Linked DNA regions of Medicago truncatula. The protein of the gene in region 3 binds, or shares a complex with, the protein of the main gene of each other region. Links are inferred from orthologs where the notes say so. Each region holds a gene or a part of one and is shown on either strand. Other genes may lie near its edges.

Region 1 (7,145 bases), on a different chromosome or scaffold from region 3:
GCCTAAGGGTTAATCAAATTGAATAATCACCAATTTTGCCTCTGAAATTTGCGAAAAGACAGAGAAGACTCAAAAATTTGAATTAAGTCGAGCAGGTTGGTCCTTTTGATAACTTGGATCTAATTTACTTTCAAATTAGTCCCTAAATTATATCACTTACGAGGAAATGAGTTTTTGAATTGTATCACTTATTGTGAAACTACTCCTTACAAGTTAACAGAAGGACCAAGTTGTCAGACGTCATTCAAAATCAGGTTCTTTTACTAGTCTCCAACAAAGTGATTTCATTCTGGGAGAATTTGAATTAAATTATGAAATATAAATAATCCTATGGAAATATAAGTGTGAAATGAATTAAATAAAAGAGTATAGTTATAGTTATACCAATTCCACGACTGGCACCAGTAATCCAAAAAACCTGGAAAGAAATGAAACAAATAACATAAGAACTGAATCATTTCATTTCAGTATGGTATCAATAATAGCAGTAGCATGAGAAATTCAACCTTATCTTCAATTAGTTCATGTTTTGGTTTTTTCTTTGACATCAAAGTGAAATCACCTAATAAATTGAACAAAACAGTAATAAGCATCCAAAAAAATTATTAAAATAAAGAGATTTAAAAAGTGAGTGAGAAAATACCATAGGCAGTGGCGAATTTGAATAAGAAGAGTAACAAGAGGAAGATAAAGAGGAACAGAACCAACATTGCTGCTGCTCAACTGCTACAATACACTGCAAACCAAGGATGATACCAGGCGTTTAGAAATTATTAGAATCAACTTTTGAACGTTTTAAGGTCATTATCATTCATGGCGTAATTAATGATATTTCAACTTTAACAATCATATTATATCAAAATCTATTAAATTATCATTATGATTATTAAGTTTCTTTTTTTTTTTTTTTAAGGATTTATGATTAAGTTTTTACTACTATAAAATAACTTATTTTCGACATTTGCAAATATTACCATGTCCTCTTGTTAAAGAGAATATATTTGATTCACATTTTAAAATATTAAATTTCTTTCGATTTAATTAACACCGAACTCTTTAGATGGAAGAATACATTCAATTTATATTGTAACTAATATAATCATTAGCATCATCGTAACACATTTTCTTTTATCATGCTTATTTCCATGACACTTTTCAATGTGTATCTTACCCATCTCTATTACAATTCTCAATTCTCTATTTTGTGTGATGTTTTAGGATTTGAAAAATGCCTTATTTATTTATAGCCATAAAAAGTGTATGTACAAAGGTAATCAAAGGTAGGCAAAAGTCATGATAATTAATTTTAAAATATAAATTGTGAAATTCTCTCAAAGAAAAGTTTAAAAGTTCAAAACTACAAGAATAATAATTTTAAATTATAAATTGTGAAATTATCTCTTTTTTTGGTGGTGTCTGGAATTCGAACATTAGACCTTACATATATCATGCATTGTCCTTACCAACTGAGTTAAGTAAATTGTGAAATTCTCTCAAATAAAGGTTTAAAAGTTCAAACTACAAGAAAATTTGTGAATATTTATAAAGTAATGATATTAATGAAATAAAGGAATTAAATAATGTTATAGGCTAGAAAATAGTAGAAAATATTAATGAAATCAAGGAAAGTAGTAATACTACGTATTCAGTATTCTATAAAAGAAAATGATAGTAGCAAAACTCAGCATGCAAAGTGTAGAAAAGAAAAGTATTATAGATTTAAGTTCATACCTCAACATATCAAATGTACTCCAAACAAAACCACTCTTTGATTTATCATCATAAGTAATATGTTTCTACTTATTTTATTGGTATATTTTCATCTTTTTTTAGAATTGGTATATTTACATCTTTATTTTAAATTTGCAAATAGTAACTTGTTGAAAAAAAATATTTTTTTAAATATAAATGGGTTTATTTGTATACATTTTTTAAAATTATATCCTTTACATTTTTCTTTAAAAAAGCGTAATGATTTATTTATATTTGGTAACATTGATTTGTCTCTCTAGGAGAGAAACAAATAAACCTTGTGGAGCAAAATAAGGAGAATGACCTCTTCATGGCCATATAAAAAAGAGAGAGTGTATCAATCTCAAAGATGATTTTCTTTTTTTTTTTAACAATAAAAAATGAAACTTATATTAACAAACCACGGGCACCTCCAAGTACAAGATGTATTAGGAAGGCTCATAATATTTACAAATATACAAAGTCAAACAAAAATTAGCCTAGTCCCAAACAAGCTAAAGGACTTGACCACCACAATTGGAACCCAAAAACAAAAACAACATTATGAGCTTTTAGCCACCAAATAGAGTTCTGCTTTACTTTATCCATCAACTGATCAATAGAGCTACATGTATTGTTAAACAACCTTTGATTACGATCATTCCAAATGAGCCACACAGTAACCAACCAACCAAGCTGCAAGAAGGAGCACCTTGCACGAACTCCACCTGCTGAATGAGAGAACTGAAGGAAGTGATCTGAGACAATAATGGGGTCAGGGCCTAAGACACCAAGCCAAGACCGCACCTGACTCCACAAAGTGCCATAAAAACTACACGAAATAAATAAATGCTGAGAAGTCTCGATTTGGCCGCACCCTAGCAAACAACCTGCGTCCGAAGCTGAGAGGATACCGCGCTGCATCAGATTTGATCGTGCAGACAACTTATTTTTTACCAACCGCCAAACAAATATTGAGACCTTAAGGGGAACATGTTTATGCCAAACAAGAGCATCTGCACCTTCCACCTGAGGAATGTCGGGAGTAGTCAGTAAAAGGTAAGTGTTGCTGACTGTATAACCTGCAATAGGATCCATATGCCATCTCCAAGTGTCTTTCACAGTGCACTGCAAGAAAACATTACTAAGTAAAATAATACACTCCCCTAGCATCTCCTCCTCCCACACCCACAACCTCCTCCTCCAACTCCAACATGCTATTAAAATTCAACTACGAAGAGTCCAGTTTCGGCAAAATTGGAGCCAATGGAACATACTTGCAATAAAAGATCCTTGAAATTCCAACCCGTAATGAAACTAACAATAACCCACATGTAAATAAAAATCTAGTTAATGAAGAAGGCAATTAGGAAAATTAGAATACACCAATTGTTCAAATTCCAATAATGGATCCTCGAAATGTAATCTAATCATAGTCAATTGAAACCAAAATGCATGTAATGTGGTCCACCAAGTTAGATAGTAAAACATTGCAGGAGAGGCACCAAATAAAAAATATGTCGAAAGAGTGACACTTGAAGCCAACGAGGATTGGGAGTGATCGACGGTGCGCATGACACATATAATGACCGACTCTTGGCATTCTTTTAGCAAAGCAATACATGAGTGAATCAAATTACATCGAAATGAAAGAGATTCTGAAACCATGAAAGTACGAGACTATATGATTGAAGGAAGGTCATAAGGATTGATCGATACTACCTATACCAACAATGAAAAATTCTTTTATGGTCACAACCCCAAATGAAAAGCATTTGGGCACACTCACATCAAATGGAAAAATTAAAACAAAAATAATATATTTACATCAATCAACATCATCTAATTTTATTCTCATCTAAAATTTAGGGTTGTGCTCATAAAAGAGCTTCTCACCAACAATATGCATATTATTTTTTTATAGCCCTTGAGATAAGAATTTCATACTTAAGCGTGCTTAACTTTGAACAATTTTTGGATGGATAACTCTTTGGAAGCTACCATAAAGTGTGTGAATGATGACAAAACACAATAAAAAGAGTCGTGTTGGTTTTTAGGATTGATCGACAAACTTGAAAGCAGACTAGAGCATTACAAATGGTATCACAACATATCTCTTTCAATGGCTCAGGAACGAACCAAGCGATATACAATGAAGTATAATTAAATTTATGTATGATATTTTTACACAAATAATATTATTATTTTTGATTTAGATTAAAACTAAATCCAAGAGTGTTTCCTACAATTTTTATCAATGAAATACGTAACCGCTAAGATACTTAGGAGTGATTACACTTAGATTTTGATTTTTTTTTTGTGTTTGTTGGTTTGGTAGTGCCGATATGTTTAAGTGTTTTTTTTATATTCTTTTAATCTTAACATTTCTTGCTTCGATTGTTCTGCTTAATAGTATTTCTTATCTAACTTTTTAATAAAAAAATTTGTTACCACTTGGACCAATAATTTCTCCTTTATAAAGTACATATATATATTAATATTTTTTGACAGAAAGGTACATATATTTGAATTAAATTCACATGAATACACCATAGCCTAGATTATGGAGTTGACATAAGCAACGTATGCATCTTCACAAACACAACCTTGAAATTGGGCTTGGGCCTAACGGGTAAAACCCATAAAACCCAATATTAGAACCAAAGGTTTCATTTCATCTAACTTCACTATTCTCATCTCATTCATCGCGTGGAGCTATAAGCAGAGAGAGAGAGAGAGAAGAGTGAGGTTTTTGACATCTACAACAATGGCGGCGAGAAGAACCGGTTTACCTCTGATCAACTACTTGAGAGTGCAGGTTGATTCTCGTCCACTGAATCACCAATCTCCTTTCCGTCTTATTCCCAATTTTTTCCTTCGTCGCTTCAGCGAAGAGGTTAGGGGTACGTTTCTCGACAAATCTGAGGTCACAGATCGCGTCGTTTCTTGCGTCAAAAACTTCCAGAAAGTTGATCCTTCTAAGGTATATTTATTCTTCTACTATTATTATTATTATTCGTTTTTTTTTTCAATCTCCTAATTATTGTTTCATTCATCATTAACGTGATGTCATTGTTAGGTTTAGCTGTTAACTTTGCCGGTTTATTTGCCATTAGTTCTTGATTTATTTTAACTTATTTTGCAAAAAAATTATTTCCGATAATTAGGTAATGTTTGGATCAACGGATTAATTAAGCACTAATAGCATAATTCTTTATTCCTATAACTAAAGATAAAGTGAATTACATTGTTTTCATATAAGTTATAGGGCGTGTTTGGATAAACAGCTTATTTGCAGCTTATAGCATAGCATGATAAGTGCATATGTATAAGCTTACATAAGCTACTTATATAGCGAAAGGTAAAATAAAGTTAAATTATTTTTGTATATGCTATAAGCTATTTTTATAACCTACATTGGAGAACTTATGAAATTAACATGAAAAAAGCTTATGAAAATTGTCATAAGCTGTTTTCACAAGTTCTTCTGAGTCTCACAAAACTTATGTCGTATATAAGCTCTGATAAGCCAATCCAAACACTTCATAAGCTACTTTGGAGACCTTAAGGAAATAATCTAGCTTATGGATGTGTCATTGGTTGTTTCCATAAGCTCTCCTGAACAATGTTCGAATGCTTACGTGAGTAGATGAGCTCAAATATATCAAACAGACTCATGACCTTCCTTTAATGTTGCTACCCACTTTACCATGCCATCAATGAGCAATTCTTATATGAAGCTAAAGGCACCAGTAAAATGCAATGCAAAAATATCTATATAATCCTTGGTTTTGATTGGTTGTGTTGGTAAATTTTTTCTAAAGTTCTGTAGATATTGTATCCATGTAAGAATTACCCTCAATTCTCAAATACTATCATTTTTAAGCTACACTTGTTTGTAGACATCATATAGCAACCGATAATAATATTGTTTTAGTTATATGAGGTGTATTCTATGCTAGATCTTTCATCAAAATAAACATTACTGTTTGCGATGAAATTATCACTGCCCAGTGTCAGATCTCTCTTAAGTGAATATTTCATGGATTAAGGCTTTGTTTGGATAAACTTACAAGTTACAGCTTAATTAATTGATTATCGTATAAGTACGTAAGTATAACAATTTCTATCACATGAGATGAAATAAAGTCGAACTGTTTTCAAATAAGTTATTAGCTGTTTTCCTAGAGAGCTTAGGAAAGAAGTTAAATGGACATGTCGTAAGCTGTTTAAATAACCTCTCCCAATTAGTCTCACAAGTTTATATGCTAGTATACAAATAAACCAATCCGAACTGGGCTATAGTGTAAACTTGCACAACTGTTAAATAACCTTACACTTTACTGTTTGAAGTGTGTGTGTCATTTTGGAGAATTCAAATCCCTCTGCCAGCAATTGTGTACTATTTTAATTTTAGCTTATGCTCTCTTGTTAACATGGAGCCTGTGCTTCTTTCCATTTGTCAGGTTACCCCAAGTGCTCATTTCCAGAATGACCTTGGATTGGATAGTTTGGATGCTGTAGAGATTGTGATGGCTCTTGAGGAAGAGTTTGGGTTTGAGATTCCTGATAATGAAGCAGACAAGATCAACTCTGTTAATCTTGCAATTGACTTCATTGCATCTCATCCTCAGGCAAAGTAGTGGAATTCATGAGGCTAGCTGTAAAATTTTTATTTTCTTTATCATAAAGTAGTGTAGAATCATTCAACTTAAGACATTTTTTGCTCCACTTGTTTGCTTCTAAAATTGAACTTTGTTTCCTCGCCCTTCTAAATCCCAGAAGTGTGTTTGGCTGGGGATGTGCCAGCTTGAGTTGTATTTTACTTTTGTTAGTATTGGCATCACATAACTTTGCATTTTGTGCTCCCATTTTTCATGTCAATAAAAATTGTTAGATTTACGATTATAGAATATTAAGGTCTTATCGCTGTCCTCACTTCTTAATGTATGCTCATGAATCGTACTATGTTTGATTGTCTTGTTTGCATGTTATGTGAGGGTATAACTTCATCTGTAATGTTTCAATTACATGTAGTCTGTATGAACGATAACTTGATCAGGGATGTCGTGTTTTGTTGTGTTTCTTTTTTGAATGACAAATGTTAGTTTAATTATTGTTATGTTAGGGTTCAAACCATGTGATTGTCACTCCTCTCCTTATCTCCCCCATTAGTTTTCTTATCTGTGCCATGATTTGCCAGTTATGTTTAGTCTCAACGCATGATAAGTGGCTCCCCAAAATTCAATTGTCATTTTGCTACTAATATGTTAAGACATTATCAAGTTGTTATGAAACCAGTATAAACCCTAATGCCTAGCCATCTGAACCTCTCATCCTCTTATATCTATTTGTCATGGACTCTACAAACTTATTGAGTTGCCGTGTCGACATATTTTGAACTAGCATTTTGT
Region 2 (7,112 bases), on a different chromosome or scaffold from region 3:
TAACATCAATGGTCTCTGTATTCTTCAACTCCCAATTCCGGGCTTTAAATGCAAAAGGTTTTGAAGTGAGTGCTCCTACAGGGCAGATATCTATTACATTTCCAGAGAGTTCACTTGTCATGAGTTTTTCAACATATGTTCCAATCTCTTCTCCACTACCACGACCTAACATGCCAAGATCCTGAACCCCTGCAACCTCTGATGCAAATCTAACACACCTGTGGGAAGAAAGTGATATTCCACAAGATCCATTAAGGAACTCAGATAAAATAATCACGATACATATAACATTTAATTGACAACAAAAAGAGGAAGGCTACCAAATATTGAAGATTAGGTTTTACAAAATAGCCAACGCCTATTGCTACCAAATGTCATTAACCATAAATTAAAAGAAACCTAGCTGGCCCTTAGCTGACATGAGAGTAAGTAAAACATACAACCAAACTAAATCATCAGTTCAGATTATTTTATTTTTGAAGAGGCATCAGTTCAGATTATTATTTTAATCATATACAGAAAAAGTTGACCCATAAGTTCCCTCGCAAACTATCATACTGTAACAATGACCACTGCTTAATTTAAAAAAATAAAAAAATAAAAAAGATATATATATATATATATATATATATATGTGTGTGTGTGTGTGTGCAACTCAATGAGGTCCTTAATTCTTACAAGATTATCATAAACATACTCTATTAACATGAATAGACCACTTGATACTTTCTTTTAGACATTAAAAGTCACAACAAATTTCTAGCTTCCAAGGTAAGATATAGTTATTAAAATGTGTACGTAAAGATAATCAAGTTTGCAGGGAAAAATGAACCTTGTACATTGAATGCACCGTGTCATCACAGTCTTTACCAAAGGTCCAAGATTTTTATCCACCACAGATCTCTTCATATCAGTGAAACGACCACGATCAGAACCAAATGCCATTGACTGATCCTGAAGATCACACTCTCCACCCTGATCACAAATTGGGCAATCTAATGGATGATTCATCAATAAAAATTCCATCACTCCTTCTCGTGCTTTCTTGGCAATAGGTGTGTCGGTCTTGATTTTCATCCCTAAATTGAACATATGATCATATTACATTTTTAACAAGAATCAAAACAATAAATAGTTAAAAACCTCAACTAAACAAAATCAAGGTCGTTTATGTGTGTCGGTGTCATAATACCAAATGAATTTAAAAGTAAGATCGGGTAAAAAAAAATAGATGATATCCCCAAACCAGCTAAACATATGATAATTTTATATCAAATATCTCTCTAATTAAAAAATTAAAGTAGAAAGAAGTATAAGTTGTAACGCAAAATCTGAAAATCAGCGTATGCAAAAAAAACTTAAAGACAAAGTACTAGATTTTATTTTTGAACAAAACTAACAGCAAAAATAAACAGACAAAAGCTAAATCAAAAATAAAAACAGAAATTTCATCGAGACGGTTAAAAGGAAATGTAATAGATGGTTCACTAGTATCAAAATTCATAACACGTTCAACAAACTAAAAATTTGAAAATAACAACAAGCAACAACACAATCATCAACCAAGTTCAATACCCTTAGCCTTGAACTAATCAAAAGATCACTCAAGTCACAAACAAGATGAAACTCAAACAACAACAAACAATAACAAACGTCGCAATAATGTTCTATCATATACTCCCTCCGTTTCATAATACTTGTCCATTTTAGAGAATAATTTTGTTTCACAATACTTGTCACTTTCAAGTTTCAATGCAACATTAATTATTGTCTTGTCAATAATGCCCTTGCATATTTATTGTAGAGAAAAAAAAAAAGAAATAATAAATGGTTAAGGGTATTATAGAAAACACACACATATTTTCATCAAAAATAAGAAAATTTATTTGGTTTCTTGGTTACTGCAATTTCTCCAAAATGGACATGTATTTTGAAACGGAGGGAGTATCATATTTCTACCCAACTAATTAATCTCTACATATTTCTCAATAGTTTCTCTTAAAGTCTTTCTAGGTTAGCTTTGCTTCTAGTGATCAGACTATTCTCCATCTAATCTACACTCCTTACTACAAAATCTACAGGTCTTTTCTCTACAAGCCCAAATCACCTAAGTCGAGTTTCTACCATCTTTTCTCCAATAGGTGGCTACCCCAACTCTATCTCTCTAATATTGTGTTTTTAATTAAATTGTACCACACATCTAACACAACATCCTAATCTTTGCTATGCTTATTTTACTCTCATGTTGATTCTTTACCGTCCAACAATCCATCACATGAAACAAAATAAAAAAAATAAAAAATTAAACTTTTTGAGATAAACAAAACACATACAAAAAATTATCAATGAAATGCAAATCCAGAAACATAAAATAAATAAATAAATTAAAAAAAAAATGAAGAATCTAACCAGGAAGAGCGGGCATGGCGCAAGAAGCAACAGGCTTAGGAGATTTCTCAACCTCAACAAGACACATACGACAATTTCCAGCAATGGAAAGTCTGCTATGATAACAAAATCTAGGAATATCAACACCAGCAACCTCACACGCTTGAAGAACAGAGAATCCTTTTGGAATTTTAACGGGATAACCATCGACGAAAACCTCAATAGCGTCATCGGGATTGGTGAAATGGACTCTAGCGCCAGCGACGGGTGTACGGGGAGTGAGATCGACGAGAGGCTGTTCGGGTTGGGGTTGAGCGGCGGGTTCGGGTTTGCGGAGTTCTGGTTTGGTGGTGATTGAACGGAGGAGGAGGAGGCGAGTGGTGGTTGGTCGGAGGGTCTTGGAAGCTAACAAACCCAGCCCCATTTTGATTCAATCAATTGATTGTGAGTTTGTGAGAAAGAAGGGTGTTGGATCGGAGATGGGAGGTTGAATTTGAGAAAAGATGGGAGAGTGAGGTGGGAGAGGTGAAGGAAGAAGGAAATGAATTTTGTATGGAGTTATGGGTGAGATAGTTGAATTGATCCGATTTCAGATTCGGGTTTGCTTCGGACCCGTTTATCACATGCTCTTAGGCAAGTAGATATATAAGAGTTGTATTATTTGAATAACCATTCATGTCATAACTTCTATAGCTATTGACGGGAAAGAAATTAAAAATATAATATTAGTAAGAAAAAAAAATTGTCATAAAATGATTGTACAAATATCATTTATCAAATAAAGAAATGATATTTGTACGTTCATTTTATCACGACTTTTGAGATAACTTTTTCACTCTATTCTCAATATGTTTTTACTTTATCTTGCTGTTACTTTGATTTTTGTGTCAATACCTATTTTTTCTTTATAAATATATGGTTGTTCAATAAGTTGTCAATCAAGTGGTTGTTCAAATAACACATCCCATAATCTTTTTGGAAAATGTAAAGACGATGTCTAGAGATATTGGTTAAACAACTAAAGCAAATAAATTTTTAAGAAAATGGAGTGTAATCAATATTTGATCAAACATAAGAACTTATATACTTTCAAAACAAATTTTTTATTTATGGATTCCTTAAGCAATGTCCACGGGACACGGGCACAAATCCACTATATTAAATGGGGGACATTTATCCCGTGAGCTTAACTCAGTTGGTAAGGATATTGCATATTATATGCAGGGGCCGGGGTTCGAACCTCAGACACCCCACTTCTCCACAATTAAATTGTGTGAGCTATAGTCACTTGACCAAAATAGGGGCACTTGACCCTACTCCTTCAAATATTTTGTAACTAGTCATTAAAATTTATTGCCCCCTCTTCAAATCTAGCTTTGACCCCGCAAAACCACTAATTGAAACTTTATTAGATTGATTAATGTATGAGTTTTGCTAACAAATTTTCCAAGGACATTGTTTAAGGAACTCTCAAAAGAAAATTGTCTTAAAAATACAAGTCAAACGCATATAAAAGTCATAATTATATATTTTCAATGTAAAAGTTACTAAATTTTGTTGTATTATTTCATCTTGTCGTTTTTTTTTTTAGCTCCCTGTTTTCTAACTCTAGGATAGAGTTTGTTAGGCGACAAACCAACGAGGTTGCCCATGCTCTTTCAAGAGAAGTCACGTTACTAGCTAGTCCGGTTGTTTATTTTAATTTACCCGAATGTATTGAAACTCTTATTATCAATGAAATGCTATAAGCACTTTTCCATAAAAAAAAAAAATGTAAAAGTTATTACTTTAAGATGCTTAAACAATGCCCTAAAATATTGAAGATCAATTTTTAATAATTGTTTAGTTACATGTAGAGAAAATGATATATTTGAGAGTGTATAAAGACACGTGAAGAGAAGCTATATTTTTTAAATGTTAAGGTATCTTCAATTTTTAAGAAATAATGCTATAAATTTTTTGGCTTAATTATAAGGATATTACGCTTCAAGAGAAGTGGAACTCACTCGAATAGAGAGTCTAGGTTCGCGCATTGATAAAGGGTTAGTATAGTTAAAAGGCTTTCAATTCCCACAATGTAAGTGAGGATTTTTGGGAGCATAATCAAACTCATGTATGATCTTTACAGGTTGAGAACATCAAGCTGTTTCATGGTTTGCTAGAGTTAAATAAGTTACTGATCATATTCAACGTTCGGTTGGCCGTTTGGCTAGCTCACATCTCAGATGATCTTTTTTTTTGTTGAAGAAGCTAAACTAACCTATCTCAATTGATCTTTAATGACTCAAGTTCGTATGTTTAGCTATGTAGTGAGAACAACTGATTTTTGAATGCATTGATCGTGTAAAATTGTTTTCGAATAAAAATGAGCTGAATGTAAATTGTAAAGTGATATTTGTTTTTCGCGATAAAAAGCTCAAAGCATTTCTTTCATAGTAGTATCTTGAATAAAATGTTGAGATTTGGGATATCAAGAGAAACGTTCAATCCAACTAAAAATGGGGTCACCTTTAAAAGTGTATGGACAAGCTCATTGACTTATATATAGACAAACTCAACATGAGAGTTCCTTAAATCGTGTGACAAACTACGAGCACGATATGAAATAAATTTAAGAATAAATATATATTGTTGAAGCAAAAGCTCTTAATTTAACTTTAAATCATTATCCAGAGCAAAAACTAATTCTACTTAAAAGCAATCAAATATGTCAAAATCAATTATGTTTGAATTCACGAAAAAGACTTTGTGATAAAGTTGCAAAGCGTAGCTTTTGCTAAACTCTCACCTAAAATGGAACCAAACATTATTGAAAATAGTGACCAGTTTCAATTTCAAACGTTATTGAATCTTCATCGGTTTCAACTAACACTAAGTTTATACTCCCTCCATTCCTTTTCTTTTGATGTTTTAGAACTTCAACTATATTCCAAAACTTTTGATGTTTTAGTGAATTTATTATTGTTTTCTCAAGTTTACCCTTGTTGGAAAACACAATAAACTATTAAAGTACTTGTGACCTTTGGTTTATCACATGTGAATTTAATGATAAATAAGGACATTTAAGTAAAAAACACACAAATGTTTATATACTTTAATTACTCCTTAAAATTTGTGTCAAGAGCTAAAACATCAAAAGAAAATGAATGGAGGGAGTAGTATTTAGGGCGTTAATAGAGTAACCGTGTCACCTTTCATGCCTTTCAATATAAATGCTTCGGACATGAAGCCTATTTCCAAGTCTGCTTTCAGCCTTTCGATTTCAATGAAGAAAAAAATAAGCACGTCCACTAGAACTTTGGAGAACGTTGTACCAAAAGAAGAAACTAATGGCTTATTAATAAGCTTAAGTCTTTTCAATTTAATCAAGACACTGAGATGGTTTGATCAAAATAAAATAGATTTAATTCATATGCACAAATAGTCGATCACAATTGTTGAATCGCCATAAAAATAATGATTTGTGATTGATTACCAATATAAAAACTTTAACACCGACAATATATGAAAATTAATTTCAAATCAAATATCGGATCGATTGAAACCTCTTTTGTTGAGAAATATTGGGTAACATCTAGTAGTATATTTGATGTCTATTTCTGCTAAAGTATGTATTGATTAATGTTTAGAAAATCAAATTAAACGTTACATCTACTATACTTAGGTGTCGCAATTCAATTAGCTTAACTGGAACTTTAATAATTTAACAAGGATTAAATTAAAAATTACGCTGCTGCTCACTAACTAGGACTACAGAAATACACAACACAAACACACCAAGCTTTTTACTTTTTGTTTTCATTACATTTCCTAACACTTAACTACAAGTGATAAAAAATGGTCTTGTTGCAGATAAATTCACAAGCACAAGAATGTGGCCTAAATAATTCACATCCTTACAAATTTTCCAGAAACTAGTAATTTTCCTATCAACCTATTTAATTTTGCCCTAGTTTCACAAAATTTAGTAGTTAGCTTTCATAAATTTAATAGTGTCAATCCCTCTTTGTTGCTTTGGCAACGAAAGTTCTTGTAACTGCTATTCCAAGGTATGCCAAGAGTGTAAGAGTCATTCCCCCAAACAGAACAACCCGGTCATAAGCAGCAATTTGGACTGTGTAGATCCGAATGCCTACTGTATTCCAGTTACTTTCTGTCCAGACTGGATCTACGACCCCCATTTTGTCTGAGGAATTTGGGGGCAAAACACTCCATACTCCTGATTCAAATGATAACCGTGTTGAATATGCTGGAACGTACCTGTAAAAGATTTTACATCAATATTAAATTACCGAGCATCAACTTAGCCGTTTAATCATGTCAAGTTCACAAGTGCAGTACCAGGAAAATGGAAGCGGGCATATAACACGTGAACAGTCTAAACATGAAAAGCATGAAGTCTACTCCAACTACATGCATCGCATAAGCAAACTTAACAAAGGTGCCAATTATGACATAAATCTTAGAAACAGTATGGATTCTGTAATCAACTGGGTTAATCCAAATTTTTACCAAGTGTGGTAAATATGCATGCACATGAGTGTGAGAACCTGTGAGCGTGTATGTGTAGAAAGTCAATCCAACATATTTATAAACACATGATTTGAAATTAGCCAAAATCACATTTTATACAACCATTGTCAGCTATTATCTGCTTCGTGAAATATCAAATATTCAATTTAAAAGGTAAAAATATTTAGACATCATCCTAATCTGAAAACAAA
Region 3 (7,273 bases):
TCATACCATACTATATATAACTTCTATCCCCTTGAAAATTATGTCACTAAATTCCCCAAAGACTAAGAAACCCAACATACCAAACTGTGAATTTTGATACGCTTAAGGCCTATTAAATTTGAAAAAAAATCATTTTTTTGCCAACAATAATTATAAATGTGTCATGTTAGTTTCATTTTATATCCTGCTTTTGAAGATTTTTACAAGAACTAGTGAAGATAAGTTTATAATATTTTCACCATTTTTTGTATAAATATTTGAGAACAGTGAATGAAGTAAAAGTAATGGGATATTTTTACAACTATTAGTGAAAAAACAACTTTAATTCAAATTAAATATAACCTTAATATCCATTAGATAATTGTTTTCATTTTTTCGACCAAAAAAAACAAAACTGTATGCATTTCTCAGTGTTTAATACATCACTATGCCTATTGAGAATAATCATTGCCAGTAAACAAAAACTTAGAGCTTTGTAAATACTAGCTAACATTAAAGAAGTATACTAGTACAACAGTCAAAAAGCAAATTCAATGAGTGAATATTAGAATCTTTCTCTTGTACTATTGGAAGTTATCCTAGTCCCTCTTGTATCAGATATTTTTCATGCAACTGTCTTTGCAAGTGTAACTACCTATATAGTGACAGCTATAGTTAGAATATATCTAGGCTGTCCCCATAGCTCTATATAAAGGTTAACAGAGTTCTTGGAACAAGAATTCATTTTTCAGATTATCAATAATATGAGAAAGAGTTTTCTCTCAATTTGCTATGATCCTATTATGGTATCAAAGAACCATGATTAAGATTTCTCGGGTACTATTCTTCTTCTCCTTCCCTCCCCTCCTCTACCAATTCACCGCCTTACTTCTGCAACTCATTGATCCTCGACTGGAGAAATTTGTTCATCCTCCTTACGTTGAAGTTCCACCACTGCAAATTCCTTCGACAATGGAAAATTTCATAGGGATCTGTGGATTCTGAAGGAAGTGATGGCGACAAAGATTGCAAATAACAGGTTCAACTTGTTGGTGCCACAGAAGATAGTTTTGACTTTTGAGCATCCAACTTTTCAGGGATCTTCTGTGAGACTGTTATGCTCGGAGAAGAAGGAGCTTGTGGTGGCAGAACGTTCTACTGTGGAGGAGGAACAACATTCTCCGGTTGAGGATCCATGAGTTGGATAAGTAAGGCCGTGAAGCGGTGGAGGAGGGAGGAAGAAAGATCATATCCAAGGCATTGTAACGTTAATTCCATACGATAGTAGAATCAGATCAGATTCAGAAAAATTTGTTCTCATATTATTGATATTCTGAAACATGGATAGTTGTTGTTACAACTTACAAGGGCTCTATGAACATATATATATATAGAGCTATGGGATAGTATACAGCCGACAACAATTATGGTTACAGTTGTCACTATGTAAGGTACTAAGAAAGACAGGTACAGGGAAAAAACATAGCACAAGAGAGACTAGGTCCCTGTTTGGATTGGCTTATTTTAGAGCTTATGTAAAACAACTTATGTATATAAATAAGCTTTTGTGTATTATTTATAAGCTTGTTAAGTTAGTTTATGAAAAAACGACTTATGAAGATGCAATTTTTGTTAGCAAGAACTTATAAATTAACATAAAACCTTATTTATTTGCAAAAGCTATTTTCCATAAGCTCCATCCAAACAAGGCCTAGGATAACATTCATTAGTCCAAGAGAAAGACTCTAATAAGCCTAATACCTTGCCTCCAAGTGGATTTCACATTACGTTGAAAAATTTACAGCAAATTTGGTTTTAGAAAGAACGAAAAAAAAAATAAAAAAATCAGCCAAATCATGTATATTTGAAATGACGTTTGGCAAACACTGATCCAAAGATACACTAAATAACTTACACAAGAATTCTAAATCAGCTAGGTAGGTTTTACACACCAGAAGCAGAGAAATAGATTCAAGGTAATCCATTTGACAATAAGCAACTACAACCTAACATCTTTTAAAATCCATTGTAAAAAAAAGCTTTTAAATCCCTATTGATTTTAAACAAGCAAGTTAGTTTCCAACTTCCATATCCACTTCAAGTGTAAAATTGAGATATCCAACTATTACGCACCATCCGCAAGCCTAATCCCGTATAATCTATACAAAACACTCATTCAATTTCAAATGTGAATCTAAAGAAACATAAATTTGGTGAAAATAAACATTATATTACACTGAATCAAGTCATTTTCTCAAAATTTTATTGGTGTCAATGTGTCAGTGTCGTGTGTTTTTCTCCTGCCTAAGAGAATATCAATCTTTATCTACACCTATATACAAAAGGAATGCAAAAAAATCTATGTAGCATTTTCTATTACAAATTTGTCTTTTACTACAAATAAATTTACCAATTTACCTCAAACCACATCCAAAAGTAACTAATCACCAATAAACCAAAATCGGTCAACATAATACACAATTAAGCGCAATAGAGCCAACAAAGTGATATTCCCTAGGGTTTCAATATATTCCAATTAATATTAAATCAAAACATGTACATTCATATAACCATTTTCTGAATCAATCTAACAACTCCAGCTTGAAACACTACCTTCATGAAATTAAAAAAAAGAAAAGAAATTGGAATAGTATTATAGTATGAATGGTGAAGAAGGAAGGAAAGGTACCTTGGGATTGGTGATATGGTCATTTTTGCGGATCTCAGCGGCGATGGTAGAACGAAGCTGAGAAACGGTAGCGACGTCGTAAAGATTGTAAACCTCCATGACGGTAGGTAAAGATCTACAAGCGCTTCTGAAGAATTCGAAAACTCGTTGACGCGCTTCAGAGAGATTCACTGAGTTTGGTGGTACTTTCGCGTTTCGAATCGCTTGCGCCATTTCCGATTCAACTCAACGAGCTTTGAAATGATGATTCTGTTGTTGGAGGTGAGGTGAGAAAGAGAGAACTAGAAAGTGTAATTGTGGAGGACACGGGACATACGAACGATGTCGTATTGAGTGTGCATTTTACCTTGTTGCTACATCTATTTCTCTTGCTGTAATAATGTTAATTGTTAATTTTACTTATCTTAAATGCAATTTTGATCACATTATATTTTATTTTTTTGCCGTACCAAAAATGTATTTATCTTGGTGTAATAATGTTAATTGGTTTATTATTATTATTTTTTTTACCTTTTTTCTATTTGATCACATAGTTTTCATTATGGTTGAACATATTAATCACGACTTATATGTTATAACCATCTTATTATAATAATAAAATAGATAAATATGTATTAATCTTCTATATTTTTAAATTGATAATGTCAACGTGTTCATGTCATGTCAGATGTATGTGTCAATCTTTCTGTTTTATATAATCTTTTATGGTCTATAAATAAATAAATAGTTAATTAACGTGAGTATTTTGTGTTTTGGTTTTGGAATTATAGGACAAGATGATGATGATGGAGCTTCATAAGATTCCTATAAATTCACATAATGGTACCTGCAATTAAATCAGCACATGCTTTAGGGTGTGATTTGAGTTATTGTGAGCGATGCCAATGTGTTTTACATTGAAACTATTTTGAAGCATTTGGGAATAAGTGAATATCTTCTCAGAGATTAACACTAATCTTGGTTATGTTAATGAAGAAGGTAGACTAAGAATGTCACCATACCACTTCAACAAGGCTTCACATGGTTGCACTCTTTACCCTCCAAACATGTGCTATACCTTTTTTAATGATTTTTTGTCTTTTATTTTAGGCCATTAGATTTTATGAAAATATAAAATAAAGAATAATGTTAAAACTTTGTCAAAAAAAATGTTGATGTGGGACCACCATAGTTTAAATTTAAATCAATAAAAAAATAATCTTAGCTCCTAATTTTGTTTTCTAAATACAACTCATATAGTAGTTGCAGAGACATTTGATATGTTAAGGCGCAAGTTTGAACTTGCAATTTCTCACTTCTCAATATTTAGTGTGTGAGTTTCGTCACTAGATTCTTTCGAACCATATAAGAAGTAAATCTTTATTTGTCTTTATTTTAAAATTCATGATAAACTAAATTTTTAATCATTATTCAGGGTTTAATCATAGATAGAATTCAAAATTCAATTTTTGAAGTGGATAACAAGAGATTTATCTACCATGGTGATGGTATTGGAGACTATTGCCCTAGTTTGAGACTTAGAGAAAGAGACTTTGTTATGTCAAGGAAGAACTTTCCAGTATGGGACTTGATATGAAAAGACCCTTTACTTAGACCAGCCATAATTCATCTGATTGAGTCAAATCATGTTATCTTTGCAAAAAACCTTTATATTTATATTATGATGATACATATTTATAGATTTTATATAAAATCAAACCAATACTAAGTTTTCCTTAATTACATTTTCGTATTCGTAGCTGTTAGCACAGTAAATCTGGTTCAAAAGAATAAAAAATCACACAATGTTTGATAACGAAGTTCAGTTCAATTGTGCATACATTTGAGACTATAAAGCGGCTGCACCTCACTTTCTGTTATATCAAGCTTAGGGTTTATTTATGGTGTACAATTTGTACTCAAATACTATGTCTAGATTACAACGTCACCGTCATTAAAGTCATTATTCTCGCTTTCCTCGATTGGCTTGTCCACTTATGAGTAACTATGAGGCATACTCAACAATAATATGGTTCATGACAATTTGCCTATTGTTATAACCTAAAAACTGAAAAGTCTACTAACAAAAGATGAGGTTGTGGACAATTATTTATGCAAGAAATTACTACCGATTTAATTTGCAGGTTTAATAGATTTATTGGGTACAGATTAGAGAGAGCAAATAAATTGAAATATGTACATATATAAAAATTTATGTCCGTAAAACCTAACTCAACTCACAATGCTGAGGTTGTTGAGCTGAATCTCTTCACCGGGTTCAAACCCGGGAATTGTGTGAGTTTCAGCGATCTTTGTCACTTCGTCTATAGAACAAAAATAAAATAAAATTCAAGGAATCATATATTTTTCCTTTATTATTCTAGGCTCATAACTACTGTCCTGCCAACCATTTTCCTTCAATTTATTTATAAGCATTATTTTGCATTAAACCATTATTCATTGATGCTTCCTGCTAATATTTGGGAAGGAACTCTTCCTGCAGCTGGACCAATATTCAGCTACCAGCTTAGAGAATGAAGAGTTGGTATCCATTAGCTTTGAAGGTTCATCATATTCCACCAGTTTCCCTTTAATAACCGGCCGAAAATTATGAGGGAATGGATATTACTAGGAAATAAAAGCAAAGAATAATAAGGAATTAACATACCATAAGATAGGACCATGACCATGTCACTGTCTATTACAGTTGGAACTCTGTGAGCAACAGTTATAACTGTGCATTCTTCAAACTCTTGTCTGATTATTCTTTGTAGAATGGCATCTGTGGCTGAATCAATGGATGCAGTAGCTTCGTCCAAAACAAGAATTTTGTTCCTCTTAAGTAGAACTCTTCCGAGGCAAAACAATTGGCGTTGTCCCAAGCTCCAATTTCCACCTTCATCACTCACTGCAAAACTTATCAGAATTAGACTTTCATACCTTATTTATTGGTTGTAAAATAATATAGTGAACAATAGAAAGGAGAAGGCGTAGCTTCAATGTGAAAGAAACCGGTACCAAACATAGAAAATACTGACCAGAAGAGTCCAAGAGACTTGGTAGCTTGCAGATTGTTTCCTTAAGCTGACATTTCTCTACAGCCTAAACATACAAATCAAATATAATCAAACCGGTTTGTATTAAATGGCTCATATAAAATTCAGCTACATTCAGTAAATACATATTTTTCTACCAGTTGTGAAGTTAGTTCATTTACATTCCATATTTCATCATCTGAGTACAGGCCTAGAGGGTCCAGGTTTGTTCTAATGCTGCCCTTGAAAAGAGTTGGTTCTTGAGGGATTATGCTTAGCCTCATTCTCAAATCCTTCAACCCCATTGAGCAAATGTTTATCCCATCAATAAGAATATCACCGCTTGAAGGCTCAACTAAGCGAAACAAAGCGCTAATCAGTGTACTTTTTCCACTTCCCGTCCTTCCAACAACTCCGACCCTACTTCCTCCTTTAAATGTACAAGTGATTCCCTTAAGGACTAATGGAGCATTAGGACGGTATCTAATCTGAAATCGAAGTACAAAAACAGAAATTATAGGAAAATTTTATGTCCAGTTGTCACAAATAAAATAGGCGACAACATCGAAAATAGAGGTGGAAAATAAGACAAGGATGGAACATTACCTCTAAGCCTTGAAGATCAATCTTGCCCTTGGAAGGCCATGAAGATGGAGGTCGGTTATGATCCACAACGGCAGGAGGCTCAGCTGGTATGTTAATGAATTGTTTGATTCTTTCAACAGAGATAATATGGTTTGATAAATTTGAAAACCATCTAGTCCAAAATATTTGGGCTCCTGTCAAGGTAAAAGCATAAGAAAGAGACAGTCCAACAAGGCCTGCAACACAGAACAGGAGAGTTGCCAAGAGTTATTGGTTTAAACATAATCATATCATGGTAATTGACATATTATATCGTAGGTGTAGATTTGTTTTTATCCATTCAAATCTACCATTTTTATCTTTGAGTCCCTGTAATTTTATCATTTTTATTTTACTTTTGGTCCTTGTTGTTTTACTTTATCCCCATAAATATTTGTTTATGCTGGAATTTGTCTCGTTAATATGCATAACATTTGATTTAGTCCCTCCAATATGAACTGCGTAAGGATTAAAATGAATTTTGCACACTTATTACACGATCTAATTTTAATTTGAACAAAAAGTAGGGACTAAAACAAAATAACAAGGACCAAAAACAAAAAGTGGTATATTGATAAGGACTAAAAACAAAAATAGAAATTACAGCGTTTAACAGCAGAAAAATTGTATATTTGCATGGACCAAAAATATATTTAAACCTATATTATATTACCTGGCGATACATATCCCCGAGGAAGTAGAATAATCAGCAAAGCTGCAGTGATGACAGTCAAGTTTTGAAGTGCTTCAACCCTTACAACTACCCATTCCATTGCCACATTAGAATGAAAGAACAATGAAGCATCTGTGTCCACAAGTTTTAAGTAGTTTTTGAAAAATCTGTCTACCATGCCAAATGCTCTTACAGTAACTACTCCAAGCGATGTCTCAGCTGCAAAATTCATGACAGGAGCTTTGGTGGTTCCGTTGATCCGTATTAGTTCCCTTGAAGAAGCTTGATAATATT

Evidence for each region.
Region 1: the proteins of NADH dehydrogenase [ubiquinone] 1 alpha subcomplex subunit 6 (region 3) and acyl carrier protein 2, mitochondrial are in contact, whole or in part, in a cryo-EM structure (PDB 8BEE), measured with the Arabidopsis thaliana proteins. The link is inferred for Medicago truncatula from reciprocal best matches to the Arabidopsis thaliana genes AT3G12260 and mtACP2. Residues at the interface, in NP_566416.1 of Arabidopsis thaliana: Phe27, Asp28, Phe30, Arg31, Cys34, Arg35, Arg56, Tyr57, Ser60, Ile63, Arg64; in NP_176708.1 of Arabidopsis thaliana: Phe61, Gln62, Asp82, Ser83, Leu84, Asp85, Val87, Glu88, Met91, Ala92, Glu94, Glu95, Glu100, Ile101, Asp103.
Region 2: the proteins of NADH dehydrogenase [ubiquinone] 1 alpha subcomplex subunit 6 (region 3) and NADH dehydrogenase [ubiquinone] iron-sulfur protein 1, mitochondrial are in contact, whole or in part, in a cryo-EM structure (PDB 8BED), measured with the Arabidopsis thaliana proteins. The link is inferred for Medicago truncatula from reciprocal best matches to the Arabidopsis thaliana genes AT3G12260 and EMB1467. Residues at the interface, in NP_566416.1 of Arabidopsis thaliana: Lys120, Thr121, Phe123, Leu124, Phe127, Tyr128, Thr129, Ser130, Asn131, Tyr132, Phe133; in NP_568550.1 of Arabidopsis thaliana: Trp361, Arg362, Leu365, Ser621, Pro645, Thr646, Ala650, Arg651, Asp652, Trp654, Lys655, Ile656, Arg658, Ala659, Glu662, Val663, Asn671.

What each region holds. Positions count from the first base shown.
Region 1 is NC_053048.1:37,332,842-37,339,986, reverse strand, and holds acyl carrier protein 2, mitochondrial, read left to right. Parts: upstream 1-4,407; 5' UTR 4,408-4,498; coding exon 4,499-4,714; intron 4,715-6,197; coding exon 6,198-6,374; 3' UTR 6,375-6,644; downstream 6,645-7,145. Other genes in the region: dehydrogenase/reductase SDR family member 7, read right to left, coding at 385-418, 507-562, 644-710. UniProt on the Arabidopsis thaliana protein: Carrier of the growing fatty acid chain in fatty acid biosynthesis. May be involved in the synthesis of short and medium chain fatty acids.
Region 2 is NC_053044.1:32,876,565-32,883,676, reverse strand, and holds the start of NADH dehydrogenase [ubiquinone] iron-sulfur protein 1, mitochondrial, read right to left. Parts: upstream 3,009-7,112; 5' UTR 2,813-3,008; coding exon 2,410-2,812; intron 1,080-2,409; coding exon 833-1,079; intron 219-832; coding exon 1-218. Other genes in the region: nicastrin, read right to left, coding at 6,384-6,648.
Region 3 is NC_053049.1:15,314,885-15,322,157, forward strand, and holds the start of NADH dehydrogenase [ubiquinone] 1 alpha subcomplex subunit 6, read right to left. Parts: upstream 3,034-7,273; 5' UTR 2,882-3,033; coding exon 2,669-2,881; intron 1-2,668. UniProt on the Arabidopsis thaliana protein: Accessory subunit of the mitochondrial membrane respiratory chain NADH dehydrogenase (Complex I), that is believed to be not involved in catalysis. Complex I functions in the transfer of electrons from NADH to the respiratory chain.